Linked DNA regions of Arabidopsis thaliana. The protein of the gene in region 4 interacts with the protein of the main gene of each other region in a biochemical or structural test. Each region holds a gene or a part of one and is shown on either strand. Other genes may lie near its edges. The genes, in order: CMT3, RING1, LIF2 and TFL2.

Region 1 (7,777 bases), on a different chromosome or scaffold from region 4:
CTCGTGTCACACCACTCCTAGTCCTAGCGAACTAGCTGCATAGTGTAAAATACTTTATATATGAAAAACTTAGACATAAATATATATATACGTGTGCGTGTGTGATGCATGTTTATTGTTTTTTATTCAGGCCTATATGCATTCTACATGTTTTAGATCAAGATGGTGATACAGAGACACTACTAATACAAACACTTGCATAAATCCTCTATGATTATGTCATTCGTATTCATTATTTTAAAAAGAAAATTTACGTCAATACTTGAAATACATTAATTGATATATGTTTTCCTAGTTTTGGAGAAAAGGGTGGTGTTCATATGTTGCAAAACACAAACATGTAAATACAGCAAAGAAGACATAGTGGACCCATGACAAGAAATAAGGCCCAAAAGTTGGGCTAATTTCAGCCATCACGACAAAGGCTACTTCTCATTTCGACATCCATATTATTCTATTCTTGTACACTTCTCTTTCATTCACTCGTCATTAATATGCCTTCAATCTAATATATTTAAGGACACAATTATACACACGTCCATATATAAACTTATATTGTTGCCTTGTTGGATATATATAAAAGTTATTGTAATTAGTAGTTACTAGTTAGAGTAATTTTCAGGTCTAATAGTGATGAGATTAACGTATTTTCTTCTTTAAATTTCAGTTATTTGCAAATAATGTCACTGCTCGATTTCCTGGAATAAAGGAGCTAATAAGAGTATCATGTTCTCCTTCATGTTACCATTTCACGTTTGCACGTTTTTTTTTTTTTTATTATGAACAAGATTACGATCACACGTTCGGTTTGTTGTTTAGTCGTTCCAAGTGTATAGGAGTTTTATCCACACAAAAAAAATTTTGATAGGAATGTGTAATTCCATAAAGATTTCCATCGTTACACACTAAAGTTTTATCTTACGCGCCACGCCGTTTGTGGAGTAACCGAGTAACTAATTTACTACTAGTCTTGATGTTGGTAGGATTAAATAAAAGAATCATGGAGATAGGATACGATTGTGTTTGAATAATTCAATATGTTTATATCTGGAAAGATCTACAAATTTGATATGATCACTAAGATTGTGGGAATTTATTCAAATCCAAAACACATAGTTACAAATCATATACAAATATGGAAAATAAATAATGTCTAATAACATTTGTGTAACATCATCTTTAATGCGAGTCATTTAGAAATGTAACTTTTTTTCTTTCTGATATGTTTATTTCTGGAAATATATACAAAATTGACCTGATCACTAAGATTGTGGGAATAATTCCAAACCAATATAGAAAGTGATAATTTATTAAAAACTGAACATTTGTGTAATCTTTTTTTTTTTTTTTTTAATGTAATGTCAAATTATATTCAAAAAAAACATATACTTTTTTACAACTTGTGCTTCATGTGTAAGAAAGGGAGAGTGCTAAAAAAAATTCTGAAATTGTCCAAAAATGATTAGATCTTTCGTAGAGTCGATGTTGACTACCCCGGGAATGAACCCATTTGTGTAATCTTTTAACATTTATTAAAAACAAATCATAGATAGCTAAGATTGTGGGAAGAATTCCAAACGAAATTAAATTCACACTAACACATTTACTAAAATCATAGATAGATATAGAAAGAAAAAACTTTTCTACTAATTTTTTTGACATTTGTGTACTCATTATAGCGAGAGAAAGAGATGGGCCTCAAAACTTTTATTAGGCCCAAACGTTTTAAATTCATTATAAAAATAAAACAATTCCACGAAAATTTCGAAACCCATCACTTTGGCGCTTATGTGACGCGCTTATTTCGCCCTCAATCTCAGATTATTTAGTCCTCACACTCGTCACACCCCCGCTTCCTAGGGTTTCATTTCGTCTCTTTATCTTCCTTCGTCTCTTTAGCTTCCTTCGATTCTCTGACTCAATCATGGCGCCGAAGCGAAAGAGACCTGCGACAAAGGATGACACTACCAAATCCATTCCCAAACCGAAGAAGAGAGCTCCTAAGCGAGCTAAGACGGTGAAAGAAGAGCCGGTGACAGTGGTCGAGGAAGGGGAAAAGCATGTTGCGAGGTTTCTAGACGAGCCAATTCCAGAATCTGAAGCGAAGAGTACCTGGCCTGACAGATACAAACCGATTGAGGTAATTTCATACATCGGAAACTGGAATTTTGGGTGTTTGTGTATGAAATAGTTAGATCTAGTTGAAATTTGCTGAGATTTGTTGCAGATCTGTTGATTTCTGAAGGATTTTTTGTTTGTTTTGTTTCAGGTACAGCCACCTAAGGCTTCGTCAAGAAAGAAGACGAAGTAAGTTCCTTGAATCCTTTGGTTCTTGTGTATAGTCAGATTGAGAGGCTTTACTTTTGTTTGATTAGAAATGTTTTTTGTTTCGTAAATAGTTGATTAAGTGAATTCGTTTTGTAGGGATGACGAAAAAGTTGAGATCATTCGTGCTCGATGCCATTATAGACGTGCGATTGTTGATGAGCGTCAGATATATGAGCTGAATGATGATGCTTATGTACAGGTATGACTCTATTACGTCTAAATTGCATTTGTTACATTTTAAAGCGTAGATTTATGTGGTACATTGAAGAAAATGAGTTAGAGAGGAGAATGTGCATGACATTGTGTTTCTTGGTGTTTGAGTTTGATGACTATTGAGGTTTTACCACTTTTTTAATGTGCCAACATGGTTTTACTGTGTAGAAAATTTTGATGTGTAGGGTAAATAATTAACCAAAGTTGATCACATTCTCCTCCCTCACCACTATCAACTGTCCGCAATAAATATTTGTGCATTGTCTCTGTTTGTCATGCTTTGTATATCTCCAAGTCCTTATGATAGTAGTTACCTTTCGAAGCTGAGTTCTCATCTGTAACAATAACTAGCTGATTGTTATTTAGACTGGCATTGCATATTATGCATTGGCTATATGAACGTTTATCATGTTGTTTTATGTTTTTCGTACAGCGTAGGTAGATGCTTTACCATATATAACTTCTGTTTTTAACAACTGAGTTTTGTAATTTTTGTGCAGTCTGGTGAGGGAAAGGATCCCTTCATTTGTAAAATCATTGAAATGTTTGAAGGGGCTAATGGGAAACTGTATTTCACGGCTCGGTGGTTTTATAGACCTTCTGATACTGTAAGAATAAAAAAAATCTTCTTCTTCACTTTCTCTTTAATCTATGTTGAATTGTCTGAAGTTTTTTTTCTATTCTTAACTTTCAGGTAATGAAAGAGTTCGAGATTCTGATCAAGAAAAAGCGTGTGTTTTTCTCTGAGATACAAGATACAAATGAATTGGGATTACTTGAAAAGAAGCTGAACATTTTGATGATTCCCTTGAATGTATGTTCTTACTTCACTGTTACTTGTAGTGTATGCTTTTGGTATACAGTATCTTAGTACAATCTTCCATTGATACTGAACTTATTTTTGTTTCTCATGCCAGGAAAATACTAAAGAGACTATCCCTGCAACAGAAAACTGTGACTTTTTCTGTGACATGAACTATTTCTTGCCTTACGATACATTTGAAGCTATACAACAAGGTTAGTGCTTTTAACAATTGATCTTCAAGTTTAGAAACTGCCAACTGGATTAGATAAAATGCTGCAGTTTTTGAAGATAACTAAGCATTTACAGATCTTTCAATTGTGCAGAAACCATGATGGCTATAAGTGAAAGTTCAACAATATCCAGTGATACTGATATAAGAGAAGGAGCTGCTGCCATATCAGAGATTGGAGAATGTTCTCAAGAAACAGAAGGTCACAAAAAGGCAACTTTGCTTGACCTTTACTCCGGCTGTGGAGCTATGTCGACAGGGTTGTGCATGGGTGCACAACTGTCTGGTTTGAACCTCGTCACTGTGAGTCATTTTTGCTTGCTAATAATCTTCTCAGATTTGTTTAATCTCTCAATGCTTAACTTTTGCTTTTTTTTTAAAATGATTCTCAAGAAATGGGCTGTTGACATGAATGCACATGCATGTAAAAGCTTGCAGCATAACCACCCAGAGACAAACGTAAGTTTTTAGTTTTCCTTTCTCCCAATTCGATTGACTACAGAAATTCTCAAGAGCCTAAATCATTTCATTTTAGGTGAGAAACATGACCGCAGAAGATTTCTTGTTTCTGCTTAAGGAGTGGGAGAAGCTATGCATTCATTTCTCTTTGAGAAATAGTCCAAATTCAGAAGAATATGCCAACCTTCACGGTTTGAATAATGTTGAGGACAATGAAGATGTCAGCGAGGAGAGTGAAAATGAAGATGATGGAGAAGTTTTTACTGTTGACAAGATTGTTGGTATTTCCTTCGGAGTCCCTAAAAAGTTATTGAAACGTGGACTTTATTTGAAGGTATTGTTGCTCTGCTTGTACAAATTTCACATTACATCTCATGGTTTAGCCTTGTTATATAGTTAATCATCTCTGGTGTTTTGATATAATAGGTAAGGTGGCTGAATTATGATGATTCTCATGATACATGGGAGCCTATTGAAGGACTCAGGTGAGCAAAACATTAAGAATGTTTGCATTAAAGTTATATATGTTAATGCGTTGTTAAAATCTCTAAATTTGTCCTTGAACAGTAATTGCCGGGGTAAAATTGAAGAGTTCGTTAAACTTGGATATAAATCTGGCATCCTTCCGTTACCAGTATGTATTTTTTATACCTGATTCTTTTGCTTTCCTTAAACTTCTGAAGCTAGTGCATAATTTTCAGATATTTAATCTAAAAGCCAATAATCTAAGTTATTGTATGTGATAAGTTCTATGGGTCTTATGTTGTTCTGCGTCAGTTAATTGTTGAGGGGTGATAGATTTAGTCACAGAACAGTTGATGTTTAGAGCAATATCCTGACATTGTTTATATGTTGTTGATGTTTAGGGAGGTGTTGATGTTGTCTGCGGTGGGCCACCATGCCAAGGAATCAGTGGTCACAACCGCTTCAGGAACTTATTGGACCCTCTAGAAGATCAGAAAAACAAGCAGCTTTTGGTGTATATGAACATTGTAGAATATTTGAAGCCTAAGTTCGTTTTGATGGAAAACGTCGTTGACATGCTGAAGATGGCTAAGGGCTATCTTGCACGGTTTGCTGTTGGACGCCTTCTACAGATGAATTACCAAGTGAGGAATGGAATGATGGCAGCTGGAGCTTATGGGCTTGCTCAGTTTCGTTTGAGGTTCTTTCTATGGGGTGCACTCCCTAGTGAGGTAAAATTCTTAATGTTTTCTCTTTGTTTTATATTAATGAATAGATGCTGTTCTTAATTTGTATCTTTCTGTTTCAGATAATTCCGCAGTTCCCACTTCCAACACATGATCTAGTTCATAGAGGAAATATTGTCAAGGAGTTTCAGGTAAACTGGTATATTAGTACCTTTCAATTTGTTTTAGCAAATTCTCATATTTATTTGTAACTAATGCAGGGAAACATAGTAGCCTATGATGAAGGACATACTGTGAAGTTAGCAGACAAGCTTTTGTTGAAGGATGTGATTTCTGATCTTCCTGCAGTAAGTATTGATGTTTTTAGCAAATTTTGACTAAAATTAGGTACAGTTTGTCTTGAATATTTTCTTACTTCCTATGTTTTTGTATTAGGTTGCCAACAGTGAAAAAAGAGACGAGATTACATATGACAAAGATCCCACAACGCCATTTCAAAAGTTCATCAGATTGAGAAAGGATGGTAAGATTCTTATTATTTTTTTGGGCAAACAGTGTAAAAACATATATTTGACAACTATTATGGCAACTGATGTTCATTAACAAATTGTTTCTGAATTTTTTCAACAGAAGCGTCAGGTTCACAATCAAAGTCCAAGTCCAAAAAGCATGTCTTATATGATCATCACCCTCTTAATCTTAATATAAATGACTATGAACGGGTTTGTCAGGTCCCCAAGAGAAAGGTACAACTTTCTTTATACTCGATTGACGATCATATATTTTTTTGGCTCTGGTCTGTTTTAGTGTCTAGGAATATTCTGATTATTTCAAAACATCTTTTGGTATCAGGGAGCGAATTTTAGGGACTTTCCTGGTGTTATTGTTGGACCTGGTAATGTAGTCAAGTTGGAAGAGGGAAAGGAAAGGGTCAAACTTGAATCTGGAAAAACATTGGTAAGAATGATCATCTCTTTTTTTTGGTCTCATATCAAGTTACTTTTCTCCTGATTGGCTGGCTATGTTATTCAAACAGGTTCCCGATTATGCCTTAACATATGTCGATGGGAAATCATGCAAGTGAGTTTTAATTCTCTTTTCTTCGTCTCTGAAAATTCTGTATTTGACTATTGTTTTCTGTTATGGAAATTGACTTAAGCCCTTCGCTGTTTCCAGACCTTTTGGTCGTCTTTGGTGGGACGAAATTGTCCCCACTGTTGTCACACGGGCAGAACCCCACAACCAGGTGAGACCTCTCATGACAATCAAGTATTTGTTCTGAATTTTGGCTAGTTGTTATTCTAGTGTTCTAGGTTTGCATAGATTTATTAGTATGCATGTTACACTGGAACCAACTTAAAGAGTATAATTGTTTGATGTTGCTGGTGATTGATTGCAGGTGATCATTCATCCAGAGCAAAATCGGGTTTTATCCATTCGAGAAAATGCGAGACTCCAAGGCTTTCCTGATGACTACAAACTCTTTGGCCCACCCAAACAGAAGTGAGTATTGTTAAGACCTTGAGTTTATGTGTGTTCTTGGTGGATTTATTGCTGCTATAGTTCTTAAGACTAATCTTACATAATTTCTGTTTTTCAGGTACATTCAAGTAGGTAACGCTGTAGCTGTGCCAGTAGCGAAGGCCCTTGGATATGCTTTGGGAACAGCTTTCCAGGGACTCGCAGTTGGGAAAGATCCACTTCTTACTCTGCCTGAAGGTTTTGCATTCATGAAGCCAACTCTTCCTTCCGAGCTTGCATGAACACTGTTGATTCATCGCATTTTTCGATTTATCTTCTATTCATTGTTTTCCTAGGATTTATCTTTAGACCATTTGCTGCGGAATTTGGATTTGTTTTGTTTAAGTTTCACGACTTTCAAGTTTAGCAACTCTGAATTTCTGGTAACTTTGTTTTAATCAGATGTTATGGATTTGTGGGATTCTCGTTCTTTTTGTCTAAGAAGAGAACTCATCTTCGGTTCGGTTTTATTACTGTTTCTTGATTAAAGGCAATGTTGGATTCGTTCGGCTACAAAAACTTTGTGCCTTTTAAGATATGGTCCATTTAATAATAGGCCGAACTGCAAATGTGATCTGTTTTGGTAAACATTTTGTGCCTCTTATGAATGAATTCAAGTTAGGCCTATTATTAACTGTACCCTATCTTTTTCAATTCAGTAACTTTCAATTCTACATAAAACACACTATACATTCTTAAGCGGGAAAAAAGTTTTTGGCCTAACGTACTTGAATTCATTAACTTACAATTCTACATAAAACGCTATACATTCCTTTTTCGATGTGGTAAATTGTTATTAAGAATGAATAAAACCATACAAAAATAAGCATCAAAGTAATAAGTTAGCAGAATTGTTAAAGACTTGAAGTAAAACAAATACTTTTACTAGAATAGAGAACAAACCAATGTTTATGGATCATAGAAAAGACTATAATATAACACTCACTAGTTAATCAAATTGCATAGAATACAAGAATGGTCCACTACTCGAACATCGTCGTTATTGTCGGGCATGGTCTATTAATAATACAAATGCATCATCGATTAAGTTGATTAGTTATATTACTTTAC
Region 2 (3,688 bases), 2.6 Mb from region 4:
TCCGTCCAGGAACTGTTGCCTTGAGAGAGATCAGGAAGTATCAGAAGAGCACTGAGCTTCTGATCCGTAAGCTTCCTTTCCAGCGTCTGGTTCGTGAGATAGCTCAGGATTTCAAGACGGATCTGAGGTTTCAGAGCAGTGCTGTTGCTGCTTTACAAGAGGCTGCTGAGGCTTACCTTGTTGGTTTGTTTGAAGACACTAATCTTTGCGCCATTCACGCTAAGAGGGTCACCATCATGCCTAAGGATATCCAGCTCGCGAGGAGAATCAGAGGAGAAAGAGCTTGAAGACTGTTGTTATGGTTTATATCTTTTGATTTAGTTCGTCAATGGAACTCTATTTCTGGATTTTGATTTGCGTTTTAGTAGTAATGGGTTCTTGTAAGTGTTGAGCTTTGGCTCGTTTTAATTTTCAGTTGTTAGGTACTTTGGTTTAGTTAGCCTTGAAGTGTTCGATGAAATACCCCAACGAAACTCTCTCCTGTTTAATAGAACTTATTTTCCTTAATTTCTTTGGTTTTGCTGCTCGTTGATCATATAATATTGAAACATTGAAAGTTTCGATTTATTTCAGATACTGTATATAACACACTAGATATTACATTAAGCTTCAATGTAGTTACACCAATTAACTGGTGTTACCAGTTACGGATGGCATTTGGTTTTGTGGAATCGGTTGTTCGTTCCTTACTCTTCTTGATGATGAGAACAAGTTAGCACTGAAGCTGGTATAGAACTGTCTTCCACTTCTAGTAGCATTGTTAATACCATCGCAAAGTGATAAGCTTCCTCCAATTGAAAACGATCTTCTCACGTTTTCTACTCTTCCTGAGCCACAGTAGTTTGCCAAATCACTTTGTGCCCTTGGAAGAAAAATGTTATGGTTTCTTCTAGATCTGGAACTGTCTTGTCTTCCACGGAGGTCATTGCTCGATTCAGAATCTGGTTGATGATTCGTCTCTGTTTCTTGATGAGGTGGTTCAGTGATAAGAAGTACAGGGGCACGACATAAAGGACAGTTCTTGTGAGAGAGCAACCAAGTGTCGATGCAATTTAGATGAAAGGCATGGCTACACTTTGGTAACAGTCTCAGCGACTCGTCTTCTTCAAACTCGTTTAAGCAGACAGAGCATTCTGTGCCGTCGATTATCCCTTCTCCCTTTTTGAATCCAACGACTGTGATCGAGTTGATCGCGGAACGGTGGAGACCGACGGTTGGGATTTGCCAAACGTGATGAAAGTCGGAGAAATCTCTCTCCTCTGTTTCGTCCTCATCTTCCTGTTGGTTTGTGTCACCGGGAGTTACGCTGGCGGCTGAAATCCGCCGTTGTTGCGTGATGTGGAGGTAGAGGAAGAAGACTAGAAATAGAAAGAGTATGATTGAGCCGACGACGCAGATCGAGGTGGGGAGTAGGAGAGAGAGCTCCCTCGGTGGCGGTGGTGGTGGTGGCGGGGGAGGGTATTGCCGGAAACAAAAGCGTAAATCTTTAAACTGTAGACATGAAAGAAGCATTTTTCTGTGATTAAACGCCATTGTAGGAGTTCAGAGACGACATAAACAGAGCAAAAACAGAGGACTTTACTTTCAGACACAACTAGTAGAAAACAGAACAAGAACAGGGGAAAATGGGTATGACACACAATTCCAAGTTTTTGCTTCTGATGAAAGCAAAAAGAAATAGGACACTAAAACCCACAAAATGGGTTAGAATCTAGACAAGAGTCATGACCCAAAAAATCTTCGTGAGGAAATAAGTGGGTACACAGCCACACACATCACAATCTACAAGACTAGGAATTAGAGAGGATTTGTCCTTTTTAAGGGTTGGAAAGTGGGTGGAAATTTCCTGAAAGTGATAACGCCATTAAAGGCGATGTCTCTGTATGTTAGGAAGTAGTTTCCTTTCAACTTAGTAAACTCTCTGTAGACATTTACGCGTAATCAGTCATGTAGCGAGTCAAGTAAGTCTTTCATTTACAACAATCTTAATTTATTTGGCATCCGGTTTAGATTATGATCGGTTTTTTCAGTTGGTTAAAGAAGGTATAACTACCGAACTACACTATCTTCACATATGTACACATTAAGCATACCAGATGTTACAGAATATAGATACATAGGTCCGGTCTAGTCGGGCTGGGCAACGGGGTCCTCTGGGACACCTTACTCGACTAATCCGATTCCACCATGAATTGTCCTTAAATGGGCATAACAAGGTTCTTCTTGAGTGAAGACGTCTAAGCAGGTCCAACAAATGTGCTTTCCACACCGGCACTTCATATGGTTACACCCATCAGTCTTCTCTATCGTCGACTTGCAAATCGGACACTCCTTTACGTTCTTCCCTTTTGCCCAGTCCTTTAGCGACAAGTCCGGATTTTCCTTGAACTTTTTGTACCTTTCACAAGTGATTAACGGGTGATACTCGAGGTGACACCTTGTGCATATTTCTGAGTGACATGCTCCACAGATGAATGGCTCACCAGATTCTTGAGGTCCAGCTACACGGTAGACGGAAGGGCAATCAGGTGTGGAGCAAAACCTGAACTTTCCATCACTGGATGTTACAAAAGAGGACAAGGATGCGCTGAAGAGTTCATCGAGCTTCTCTTGTGATAAGAGGGCTCTCATATCAGCGAGTACTATTGGAGCTCCACAGTCTATGTGAGAACAAAGTATTGGGAATGCGTCAAAGTTTCTCATCGATGCCTCAAATTGCTCCAACAAACAAGCTTTGCAGAAGAGGTGTGAACATCCTTCAAGAGAGTAGCCATCATCAACTTCAGACAAGCAAATGGGGCATTCAACTTCAATCTCATCTGGTTTTTCACCCAGTGCACTCTTTTCTCGTGCAAGTTCATTGACCATCTTTTGTACTTCCTGCCTCATTTCTTTGCTCCCATGAACCTGAATAACATGGTACCGGGTGTTGAGCTTGAGATCCACACCATGCACCTTTTCTTTGATACCTTGGAGCTCCGGACCAAACCGCTTCACAACTTCCTTCATGAGGTCAGGACGGATCTCAGGACCTCGGAGGTGGATTTCAAGTTGCTTGCTCTCATGATAATCCATAAGTGCCTGAATCAGTTCTTGTTCTGCCTTGGCAATTTTCTCACTTGTTCCACAAATGCGTACTGTGAGATTGTGCCTATCTAATAGAATGTAAGTTTCTGTCTCCTGCTGGATCTTCCGCATCAGATTAATACCATCTCTGGACATAAGATGCTGCAGGACTCTACGTGTGAAGCCTGGATGGTTTATGGGTCTTCCTCTTAAGAGTTCTTCAAGTTCTCTCCGCATCTCCGCAACGGGTCTTGTTGCATAAGCAGTAATTTTAACACGATAAGCCCCGTTATGAGTTGGTTCCAGACAGCATTCACCCCCTACAAAAATATAAACAAACGTTAATGCACATCAAAATTTGGACAAGTTCACAGGAAAAATAGGACACCTAAGCTTATGCATCCTTCAAATATCCCTTACCCTACACGATTGTTCTTAATCAATATCGGAGTCAGAAGTAGACATTCAGTAAGGTTATTTGTTGACAGAAAATTAAAGAGCAAAAGATCAAATGTTGTGTAGAAATTTTACCTTTTTGTCTCTCAAACCTTGCTAATAAAACGTTCAATTGTCTTTTGACAGTGTTGTAGATAGAAGCGGAGCAGATTATGGAGCTCTGAAA
Region 3 (5,759 bases), on a different chromosome or scaffold from region 4:
TCATTGTCTTATTTTTTTAGGTTCATGAGAAAAATGGAGAAGTCAGATGGAAATATGACTTAGGAAAGAAGAAAAACTTCGAGCAGGTGAGATTTTATTGTTTTCATCATTCCATGGATTGTTAGTTAATTAAATATATAACTCTTTGTTTTCATCTTGTGAAGGTTTTTGGGAAGAAGAAGGCGTTTTGGCTCCTCCCATTGTACTCTAAAGACGATATCGATAACATAACTTCCCTTGAAGGCCTTGAATTTCCAACTTGTTCTGACATCGACCCTTGATTGAAAGTTGAAACAAAATCAATCAATCATATTCGAAACAGCCTTCAACTGCACTCCAATGTAGATAACTCTCTACTCAAAAAGAATTCTCATTGCCAATTGTTGTTGTATTATTGTAATTGATTTGATTCATTTCTTTGCTTCTTGTTGAAAGTCTAAGTTCGTTTGACATCTTCAGACTGTAATGTTATGTGATGAGACCCAGTGATAACTTGTTGTATAAGTAAACAACGTTGCACAAGGGCTAGGGAAAGCAAAAACACCAAATCTGATGGATAATTGATAAGAGTATTATTCAGAAGAGAAAAAACTAAAAAGTCTCATAATTTAAAGATCGAATCACTCAATCCTATCCCCCCAGCAGTCTCCATATCAAACCAGAAACCATAAGGTTTCGATTTCATATTTTATAACACATGAGAGAGAGCTTTTTAAAGTTCTCCAAAAACAAACTACAAACAAATCCCAATACACTTCTCCTTTTCTTTTTCTACTTGCTTATTTTTCTCTATGGTTACTAGTAGGGTCGGTACCTTCGGCCTCCTCGGTTACCATCATGTTCATGACTGTTATCTCTGCCTGACCCTCCGCTTGAGCCGTTATTCCGGTCATTTCTTCTTGGTCGTTGTGGTGGTGCTGCTGCCATCGGCATACCAGGCTGTTGCCTGCACAGCAATCCATATTGGTTATTTATTAAGCGAAAGTAAATATGAATCAATAGAGAAGGATCAACAAATTTGTTTACAAGAACCATCGACTTACAGAACATAGCCAACTCGGCCATCGGGAAGAAGCATTGGAACCATTTGCATCCCTGTTGGCATTGCTCCTCTACCATAGATCATTGGCTGCTCAATGCAAAATTAAAACCAAACGTTACACAAAACAATGGCTGATAAGACTAGTCAAGGATGACAAACAGCTCTTTCTTAGAAACATATATACCTGACTAAAACTACCGGCAATACCCAAACCGGCACCCATAGCACCGTAAGGAGCCGCAGCAAAACCACCAAACGTGGGATGCACAAAGGGGGCAGGAGTAGGTGCAGCCCCGTAAGAATAAGAAGAAGGGTCATGCTTCCTTTCAGCCTGGGGTTTAGCAAGCACAACTTCTAGTGGTTGACCTGTAGTTTGCAAGTTTGTGGAATGTGTTACTCAATAACATCTCTTGAGACGAAAAAACATACGCCATTAGAGACAAATTGATAGCATAACGTTCATAATACTCAATAGCTGTCTTCTAGATGACTAAAAAAACTTACCATTGACTTCATATCTCTCGGTATCTTTGACAGCCTTCAATGCACTAGATCTTTCAGCATAGTGGACAAACCCAAAATCACGTTTTCCACCCTTTCCAGGAGGTGTAACGATTTTGGTCACTTCTCCATGCCTCTGAAAGAGTTCCTTTAGCTGCTCTGTTGAGGTATTCTCTGGAATATTCTTGACATAAAGGGCTTTCACCTGAGTATATAACGCAAAAGAGATTGTCAAAAAAGTGCCAACTTTGCCAGGAGAGAGGTTTTTGTGCAGATTGACTAAACCCTCTATTTAAATAATACCTGAGCAGCAGCAGCAGAATGCTCAGGAGAGCTTTTTGGGTCTGCCCAAGTCACAGTTGGAGCGTTACCCTCAAGCTTAAAATTAGAATCTATCATTTTCTGTCTTGAATAATCAGCACATGCATTGTTATAGTACAAAACAAATGCAAAACCACGGTTACGAGTGGTATTTGTTGGGTCCTACAAGTAACAAGAAGATAATTAGTAAGGCAATTAAGTAAGATCAAGCATGGCAATCAGATTGATTAAGTCATCTAACTTTTATGAGCTCGATGTTCTCCACTCCAGGACCAACATCCTCTATGACTTTTCTAAACTCATCCTCAGTCCAGTTCTTTGGTATGTTACCAATGAACAACCTATTCTTCGTTTCGGAAAGAGAGCACCTTATGGTTTTTCCCTGTACAAAAATTAGGTATAGGTTAAACAAAATTGTTATAAGTAAAATGCAAACTAGCAATGACCGATAAACTTAAGCTACAGTTAGCAGTTGAGCTTGCCTTAAACTCTTTACTGTGCAACTCCTCAATGGCCTTTTGTGCAACGTCTTTGGTTTTGAAAGCTACAAAAGCATAGCCTTTGCTATCACCAGAGTCCCTATCTTTCATCAGTCTCACCTAATAGAAAAGGAATTAAAATTCAGTCGTAAATACAGAACCAACAAAGAGTATATCATGAAACACAAAGATTATTGCAGTTCGAACCTCAAAGATCTCGCCTATCTCTTCACATAGATCCCTCAGGTCCTCTTCTCCAACATCCCTTGGGAGCCCACCAATAAAAACTTCAGAACCATGAGGAGGAAGTGAAAGAAGGTGGGAATACTTTTCCCTATCTTCATCATCAATAGGAGATGGTGGTTTCTCATCATCATCTGCTGTCTCAATATCAATATGGTTGTCGTCATCTTCAGCTATTTCCTCCTGAACATCTTCCATATCCCCACCTTTTGTATCACCATAATCCTCCACCTCACGTTCTTCGGCATTCTGATTGCCAACGTCATCATCATCATCATCTTCTTCTTCCTCCTCTTCATACTCTTCTACTTGTTCCTCCTCCACTTCATCCTCCATCTCACTGTAGCTACCCTCCTCGAAATCCACACGGTCATCATTATCTCTTGCGTCTGACATCTGGTCATCCAATAACCATACTCTTTTTTAACCACGAAGCTCAGGTAATCACTGTTAAAAAAATGCTATAGGACCATACACCAAAAAAAAAAGCTTATAATGGGTGATATGAGAACTGCTCTTTTTCGTTTAAAAAAATGTGGAGAAGAAAGGATGGTTCAAACTAAATTCAGGTTCTTTTAGTGGCAGAGATACAGAAGAATTGTAGTTCATTGCTATCACGAAACAAGCGTCAAATGAGATAAAAATCAAAACTTTGAAAAAGAGCAGAGTTTTTGTGTATGTATATATATGATTCCAGATCCAAATTGATAACAGAGAGAAGAATCAAGCCATAACCGAAGCAACCAATGAAATTAGAGATCGTAACTCACACATCTCTCCAGAAAGCAAATTACTCACCAGTTAAGCTCAGAAATAAAAATCTGAACTTGAAACAGTCTGAGAAAGAAACTAGGGTTTATCCTTTTTTTTTTATATTGTTTGGGGGAGGGTAACAAAATCGAAGAAGATGAGAAGTATTTATATGAAACAACCAAAACAAATGTATAAGAAAAGTAGAAATGGAGAATTTTCTCGGCATACCAGACCGTGTTTGTTTTCGAATTGGGGAAATTGGTATTTCGTGTTGTGGGAAATTAGGGATTTCGCTTCGGTTGTCCGACGAATACTGTTTTACTCAAAAAACAAAACTTCGTCGGCTATTTCTCGATCTCCGGTAGAAGAAGATGAAGACACTCCTTACCCACTCGTGGGCTATGATCACATGTTACGCACACATTAACCCTAAATCAAAACGCTTTTTAAGCCCACTGTTTTTATTGGGCCTAGTGTTTTCTAGTTCTTTATTATACCTGTTTAAAAAATTCGTGATTTTGCCAGCCCTGCCGTTTTCTTTGGTGATATGAAAACTACGTGCTGTTTTAAAATTATTCCATTTCAGAAGCATTTAATTTATATTTAGGTGGATATAGAGTAGTAGTGTATAACGTAGAAGACAAGACTGATCATGTAGGAATCATGTCACATGGGTAATGTTCCTTGCTCGTGGATCTCAAGTTGCAAAGTTGCAGCTTTTTTTTATGGTTTTCTTAACAACTTCACTTTGCATGTAAAAACAAATAAGGCCAGTGAAAATTTTCGTTATTTTATACTAAAAAGATTCCATATAATTAACAAAGATACCATGACAGATTGATAAACTATTGTTCACATCCTAATTGCAACATTTATAGATAAAAATATGAGCATACATATTTATATAGAGATTAGTTAGTAAACACTTCCAATTATAAGCTACAAATTCACACACACAAACATAAACACAAACAAAATTACACACCAATCTCAAAGATCATCAATAAAAACTGAAAAAGTTATGGTTCTTTTTGTCAAATTGTTTTTATTTATATATAACAAAAAAAAAAAAGGGAGGAAAAAAATCATGACCGGTTGATTTGGTTGGATTATGGAATCATCTTAACCATCGCCTATAATCGCTAGTAGAAGCAGGTGATATCTCTCCACCACCACCAAGAGACTCAGTACAACAAGAAGAGTAATTTGATTGTTGTTCCAATGCACCCAATTGTGAGCCACCTATACTCTTGAAACTTGGACTCCTTAAACTCTGACCATCCATTTGCTGCGGCAGCGGTGGAACTGGAAACGAAAGCCGTTTTCTAGCTGAACTGATACGTTCTTTCTCGGGTGTTGAAGGCCGTTGCCTTGGTGCACTCTGAGACCGGATTCTAGCCTTAGCAGATTCCGTAATCGCCATGTAGTTTGGCAATGCAGCATTTGTAGCAGTAGTAGTAGTGGTACAAACACTATAACCACTTCTTGCTGTGAAACTATAGTTAGATCTCAAGCTAGGTGTGTTTGATGTGTAGTTGTACGCTGACCGATCATCTCTTTGGATCCGCGGACTAGCGGATCGAATTTGTATCGGTCTAGATTTAGCCGGAGATGGTGTAGCTGATGAGAAATTGTGTTGTTGGTAATGGTGGCTGGTCCTTGATGGTGAACTAGGCCTTTGGCTACGGCTTGGACTTGCACCGGTTCTCGAGTTACCGCGGGTTAAATACGGTTGAGAAGTATCGATCTCCACGGTTTTGTAAACCGGTGGTACTCTTTGATCCGTTGAAGCTCGTTTATCCCACGGTTTAGAAGCCATCCATCTGTCTAACCATTTCGGTCTCTCTTCTTCATACTCGTCTCCTGTAGAATAACTACCTCTTGTTCTCCGAACCTTTCACCGAAATCAAACACCGAAACGAATCAAATTACCGAAAACAAACAAACGATTAATATGAATTCATATCTATTACCTGGTGAGAGAAAGCTTGTGATATACTATTGTTACTCTCACGTCTCAACGCATTGTCTCGTCTTTGTTGCAACATTGCTTTCACTTCCTCAATCGTGTGTGGTCGATCATCCCAATCTTCCGCAATGCTACTTCCTTCTCTTGACTACACAACAACAAAAAAGGCATTTCAAAATGTTAGCTTTATATAGCTGATTGCTGAAACAGAGCAAAAATGGTCGTTGAAACAGAGCAACAATGGTGTTCTGAAACTTATAGAGATCACTCACCATGGATCTTCTGTCTGATATTTCTTGAAGATAACGAGATTCGAGCACACTTTGAGTGTCGCTGAAGGCAGATTTGCGACTACCATCGTGAGACAAGCGTTTCCGTTGGTCAAGCACACGAGATTGGACTCGAACTAGAGCTTGCATACACCTTAAAGTCATCTTTGCTTGCTTCCTCA
Region 4 (4,948 bases):
ATGATTGGAGTTGATGGACAGTACCCGATGAACAATCTGAAGATACACTGCTCTTGTATATTAAAAGATGCTGATGCTTGTGAGCTGGTTGTTATGGATGAGGTGTGGTATCCTGATCCAAAAGCTTTCACAAACATGTATTTTGGATCAGATCACCTTCTCTTATTCAGCAGAACCTGCACGTCCATGGAAGCTTACAGCGAAGCCCTGTTTGAATTCTCAGTCGAAAACACAGAAGGAGATTCCTTTAGCCCGCTTGGAGAGGTTAAAAAATGTGCGGTACACCTTATATCACTCAAAGACATGATGCAAGAGTTCTCTAATGACTCTGACAAAATTCAGAGTTCTGATTTGGATCTTCCAAAGGCATTTGATGACGCAAGAATTTTGAAAAGAAGAGCATATGAAACTGAGTTCTTGCATAAGGAACAACTAAATCCCAAGAGGATCAAGTTTCTTCCAGTTCCTTTGGCTCGAGAGCGTCATTCCAAATTACATCAGCGAAATGTCATACGAAAGTAAAAAAAATTACTTGGTTTGCTTGTAAACATAATTATTATATATTGATTGATCACATATATTTTGATAACATCAACATATCATGAACTTGATCTTTGAAGAAGCAAGTACAAGAAAACTTCCGCTATAAGAAGCAAAGGTCCAAGTAACAAGATTTACTATGATAGAGATAGAGAGTGAACACAACGAACCCGAGGAGATAAATTACAATCTGAAACCTCCCGGAGACGCGATACAAAATCCAATTGTCGCTACCTCGACTCTACATGTTGCACTGCTAGAATAAAGAAGCCATCTAATCTTTTCTACCTACAAGGGCTGTGTACAAACAAATTCTTACCATTCCGGATGATTTAAGGCGTTCGATTGTACTTGAGATGTTGCTCATAGAATTCAATCAGCTGGTGTGGGAAAAACAAATTAGAAAAGCTAATAAGAAACTTCCAAATGAGTAAGTGCAGAAAAAAAAAGCTATAAAGATAATCTTACGAGATGAGGATTGTGAGCCTTGAGAAATCTGTTGTCCACCAATGCTTCCTTCCCATCAGACCTATGAGAGTAACCAAATAAGTACAATTGTACAAATATGAAATCAAATTACGAGAAATGACCAAAGAGCTAAAGAGACAAACCTCAGCGCTAAAAAGGTCACCAACACTTCCTGGACATTGTCTGATACAGATGCTGTAAAACTCATTGGTTTAAGTATCTTCGTGATGTCCAACTCCTCAATCTTGGTTTTCTGAGACAAATTACAATTTTCCATCACACCAGGATATTCATTCCCCATCCTTGCAATCCTACCAAAAGAGTCTAATGTAGTCAAATCTGGTGTCAGATTCTGATCTGTAGGTGCTGTGTGGTTGTTACTTGTGGATCCATCTTGTTTGAATCTTTTCACAGAACCAGACTTCCTCCGCTTAGCACCTATGAAACGACTGTTCTTATCAAGCTCCTTAGGATAAACCTTGAGAAGGCCATTGGGTCTTACATTATCACCTTCAGAACCAATGCCTCCTCCTTGAGAACATCCTGCACCGTTACTATTGTTGACTGGTCCTCGTAGCTCGTTAAGTGTTGGATCATATTCTTTCTCATTGTCAATCAAACGAACTTGTCGGGCCATCCCAACACTCCCACTGTTGGCTTCAACTTGGTTGGATACATAAGCATTCTTCGCTTCCACATCTCTATTTAATAGACTCGAACCGCTTAGGTCTAGTGGATCAGGAATGTCAGGAAGGCTAGAGTTGTTGAGAGACGTAGAAGAGTCAGATTTCTCAGTAGCATCATGTGATGTAGATGTTAAACGTTGCTTCTTCTTCATCTGAGAATGAGGACCTGCATATTTGCGCTTCCGTTTCCTACCAGGCTTTCCTGGCTTCAAACTTTGAAACATATGAAACAAGAAAGCAAATCCATACATTAAACCAAGAAAATCCATGAAACAATCAATTCAAAAGTATCACAAAACTTTTATATAAGATTCCATTTACTTACCTTCCCTCAAAGGCATCTATAACATCAGCAATAGACTGGAGATTCTCTAAAGGCTCCCATGTGTTGGCAGTTTCAGGCCATCCGCGCCTTTCACAACCGAGTTTATAACTTATGTCAATGGAAAAACATATGTTTAATCAAGAACAACAAACTTAAAAATGAAACCAAGTAAGATTAGAAAAACTCACCATTTAATTAGATACTGAACCTTGCCCTACAAATACAAAAAAAAAAACAGTACCAAAATGCAGAATCAGAATCATTCAATCAATCAAATCCAAGAAGATATCAAACATTAAAGATCATTTTCTTCCTACAACATATAACAACCACAGAATCAAAACTTTGGTTCGTTATAAACTACTCTGTTACGATGATTACTAACTACTAAAGCAGCCACTTTCTCACACCAATGTGTAACCTACGTTTGATACTTATCTTAAACCTAGAAAACCTAAAACCTCAACTAATTATGGTTAACAAAAACAAACCACATTTGCTGAGTGAAGACGAAAAAAGGAGCTTACTTTTCGAACTCTCTTACGACGAATAGCTTCAATTTCATAAAACCCTTCATCAAGCTTTGGCCTTTCCTCTTGCCCACCTTCTCCTTCTCCTTCTTCATCTTCCTCATCACCTCCATCATCTTCATCCTCGTCCTCTTCTTCTTCTTCATCTCCATCCTCCGTAGGCCTATCATCACCAATCTCGCGAAGAATCGACTCTCCACTTCCACCTCCACCTCCCCCTCCGCCGTCGTCACTGCCAAACCCACCGTCTCCACTAATTTTCCGGCTTTCTCCGACTGTTTCCACCGCCGTCTCCGCCTCACCAGCTTCGTTCAACACCTGGGGTTTCTTCTTAACAGCACCACTTGCCCCTTTCATTTCCTGAGTATTCGAGCCTCCCAAACCTGAAGGAGGAGGGTGAATCAAGGTAATCGCGTTCTCTTCTCTTCTTCTCCTTTTTAGAAATCAAGGATTTTGGAGGAAGAAGATGAAGAAAGATTGAAACTTTTTCTCTATTTCTGAGGTTTTTGTTTTTGCAGGAAGAAGACCTGACCTGACCTCAAAGACCAGTTTTTTCACTTTTTTGGATTCTCTTTTTTTTTTTTTTTTTTAATATCACAATAGGAAAAGTTGAATACAGCAAATTCTTAACGTTTATAATCTAATTAGAAGAGATTATTTCTAATTACTAATATGAAAATAATAAATACTACTGAAGAAAATATGTGAAGGTAAATTAAATCGAAAAATATATTAAACTGAAAACATTTTCTTTAAATTAGAAATAAAAGAACATCGTGCTCTTGCTCCTTTTACAAGGAAATCAACTAGGACATTATTACAACTTAAAAAAAAATCAAAGGAGATTGAAAAATCAGAAAATAAGTCTCATAAACTAAGATTCTCACTCCAAGTCTCCAAGTGCACTGCAAAGGCAGACAACTTAGTTGGATCTCCTAACATCATCATCAATAATTTTCAGCAATATCTCATCCAAACCAACAGAAAAGAAAGTCCTTCTCCAAGATAAACTTCATCGAGATTCAGATTCTTTCATTCCAAAGTATAGTTATCTTGATAGTAACTATGTGATTACTGCTCGAGTTTTAGCCTCAACTTTTGGTGGGCTAAAGTTCTATTTTCTTCAGTTTAGTGTGTTTGTTCTATACTTTGTCCAACCAAAACTTGTTTCTTTGTGATTAGTACTTGTACACTAAATGATGCATGTTTTGATCGCTTTGTTAAATTTGAATTGTTACTATAAAATTTGCAGTTCTTTTTTTGTTTAAACGTTAGAAAAATAATAATTACTATTATTATTTAAAATGGTGATATGAAAGAAGTAAAAAGGAAGAAAAAAAACATTCATTAGGATCGGTTCATAAATAGGGGGAAAAATGGAACGTTTTGACTTCAACATAAATAAATGAGTATTTTATTTGATGGTGAGCTTATGAAAGTTTGTAACGTTTCCTCGAAATATATATGAGAATATTTTTTTTGTAAAAATTCACGATTACAAGCACTCAAACAAATGGAATTTTTTTCCCCACACACAAAATATACATCCATTAAAAAATCAAGAAAGAAGTTAAAATTTCAAACCTCCCACAATTTTTTTTTTGTTTAGAAAGAGTATATCCGAAGAACAAGAGAACAACCTTTTTCTCTGATAAAAGAAAAAGTTCATCCTTCTTAACCTTTTTCAAAGTTATGAGAGTTGCATTAACCTAATAATGCAATCTCAACACCGATACTTCATTCTTAGGGAATGCAAAACACAACCACAATACAACATAAATTATTCTTTCTTTTTTTATAAAGAATTTCTTAAAAGATTTCTTTAAATTAACTTAGTTGTATGTTCACTTTCTCTCTTCATCTCTTGTGGAGATAGTAGTCGATTGTACAGCAGGTAAATTTAGAGTCCACGTTTTCATACGCTCGTTTGTCTTCTTAACCTGTAATTAGATAAAATTATACATTTAATATGACGAATTTTCTAATAAAAATTTTGAGTTATATATTAAAAGTAAATTACCTCCAATTCCCAGTCAGTTTTGTAAATAACATAACACAATATCAACGTTTGGATACCAACTCCAGCCAACATTCCGGACCAGAGTCCCTGCATACAATATCATTTATTCAAGTTAAAATTCTAAAAGTTCTAATGATTGATCATAATGAAGTACTGGATACCAGTTTTCATATATATGATGTACCTTAATCCCAAAATTGAAAACGTAAACAAGGAGGACACCTAAAGGAACACCAATTGCATAATAAGATGCTAAGTTCACTAATGCTACCATACTCTGCATCCCTGCTCCAATTGCTACCCCTGTTTATATATGTTCAAACAAATTTAGTGGTTACAAATTAGTGAAATCTAAAAGTTTATGTTATAATTTATTTAT

What was found.
Region 1: the proteins of TFL2 (region 4) and CMT3 form a complex in vitro, tested with the Arabidopsis thaliana proteins (one study listed by BioGRID).
Region 2: the proteins of TFL2 (region 4) and RING1 form a complex in vitro, tested with the Arabidopsis thaliana proteins (one study listed by BioGRID).
Region 3: the proteins of TFL2 (region 4) and LIF2 form a complex in vitro, tested with the Arabidopsis thaliana proteins (one study listed by BioGRID).

The regions. Positions count from the first base shown.
Region 1 is NC_003070.9:26,247,667-26,255,443, reverse strand, and holds CMT3 (chromomethylase 3), read left to right. Parts: upstream 1-1,756; 5' UTR 1,757-1,924; coding exon 1,925-2,140; intron 2,141-2,269; coding exon 2,270-2,307; intron 2,308-2,424; coding exon 2,425-2,527; intron 2,528-3,041; coding exon 3,042-3,149; intron 3,150-3,235; coding exon 3,236-3,355; intron 3,356-3,458; coding exon 3,459-3,558; intron 3,559-3,669; coding exon 3,670-3,878; intron 3,879-3,968; coding exon 3,969-4,034; intron 4,035-4,110; coding exon 4,111-4,368; intron 4,369-4,460; coding exon 4,461-4,519; intron 4,520-4,601; coding exon 4,602-4,668; intron 4,669-4,900; coding exon 4,901-5,230; intron 5,231-5,307; coding exon 5,308-5,376; intron 5,377-5,445; coding exon 5,446-5,532; intron 5,533-5,620; coding exon 5,621-5,708; intron 5,709-5,815; coding exon 5,816-5,931; intron 5,932-6,037; coding exon 6,038-6,142; intron 6,143-6,221; coding exon 6,222-6,265; intron 6,266-6,361; coding exon 6,362-6,431; intron 6,432-6,584; and 5 more. UniProt on the Arabidopsis thaliana protein: Involved in the CpXpG methylation (e.g. CHG cytosine) and in gene silencing. Methylates preferentially transposon-related sequences. Functionally redundant to DRM1/DRM2 to maintain non-CpG methylation. Involved in RNA-directed DNA methylation.
Region 2 is NC_003076.8:3,265,664-3,269,351, reverse strand, and holds RING1 (RING/U-box superfamily protein), read right to left. Parts: upstream 1,718-3,688; 5' UTR 1,534-1,717; coding exon 628-1,533; 3' UTR 539-627; downstream 1-538. Other genes in the region: AT5G10390 (Histone superfamily protein), read left to right, coding at 1-287; AT5G10370 (helicase domain-containing protein / IBR domain-containing protein / zinc finger protein-like protein), read right to left, coding at 2,164-3,386, 3,598-3,688.
Region 3 is NC_003075.7:350,005-355,763, reverse strand, and holds LIF2 (RNA-binding (RRM/RBD/RNP motifs) family protein), read right to left. Parts: upstream 3,796-5,759; 5' UTR 3,568-3,795; exon of another isoform or gene 3,357-3,567; intron 3,013-3,356; exon of another isoform or gene 2,983-3,012; coding exon 2,551-2,982; intron 2,464-2,550; coding exon 2,347-2,463; coding exon of another isoform or gene 2,311-2,346; intron 2,247-2,310; coding exon 2,106-2,246; intron 2,027-2,105; coding exon 1,847-2,026; intron 1,749-1,846; coding exon 1,547-1,748; intron 1,409-1,546; coding exon 1,227-1,408; intron 1,130-1,226; coding exon 1,044-1,129; intron 947-1,043; coding exon 799-946; 3' UTR 516-798; downstream 1-515. Other genes in the region: AT4G00840 (DHHC-type zinc finger family protein), read left to right, coding at 21-86, 165-281; iqd17 (IQ-domain 17), read right to left, coding at 4,457-5,233, 5,313-5,456, 5,581-5,759. UniProt on the Arabidopsis thaliana protein: Transcriptional activator that binds DNA on GAGA-like motif and 5'-(C/G)ACGTG(G/T)C(A/G)-3' consensus motif in the promoters of target genes.
Region 4 is NC_003076.8:5,826,632-5,831,579, forward strand, and holds TFL2 (uncharacterized protein), read right to left. Parts: upstream 3,130-4,948; 5' UTR 2,907-3,129; coding exon 2,547-2,906; intron 2,234-2,546; coding exon 2,208-2,233; intron 2,128-2,207; coding exon 2,020-2,127; intron 1,908-2,019; coding exon 1,152-1,907; intron 1,070-1,151; coding exon 1,009-1,069; coding exon of another isoform or gene 991-1,008; exon of another isoform or gene 921-990; coding exon 873-920; 3' UTR 540-872; downstream 1-539. Other genes in the region: AT5G17680 (disease resistance protein (TIR-NBS-LRR class)), read left to right, coding at 1-522; AT5G17700 (MATE efflux family protein), read right to left, coding at 4,394-4,489, 4,570-4,656, 4,754-4,872.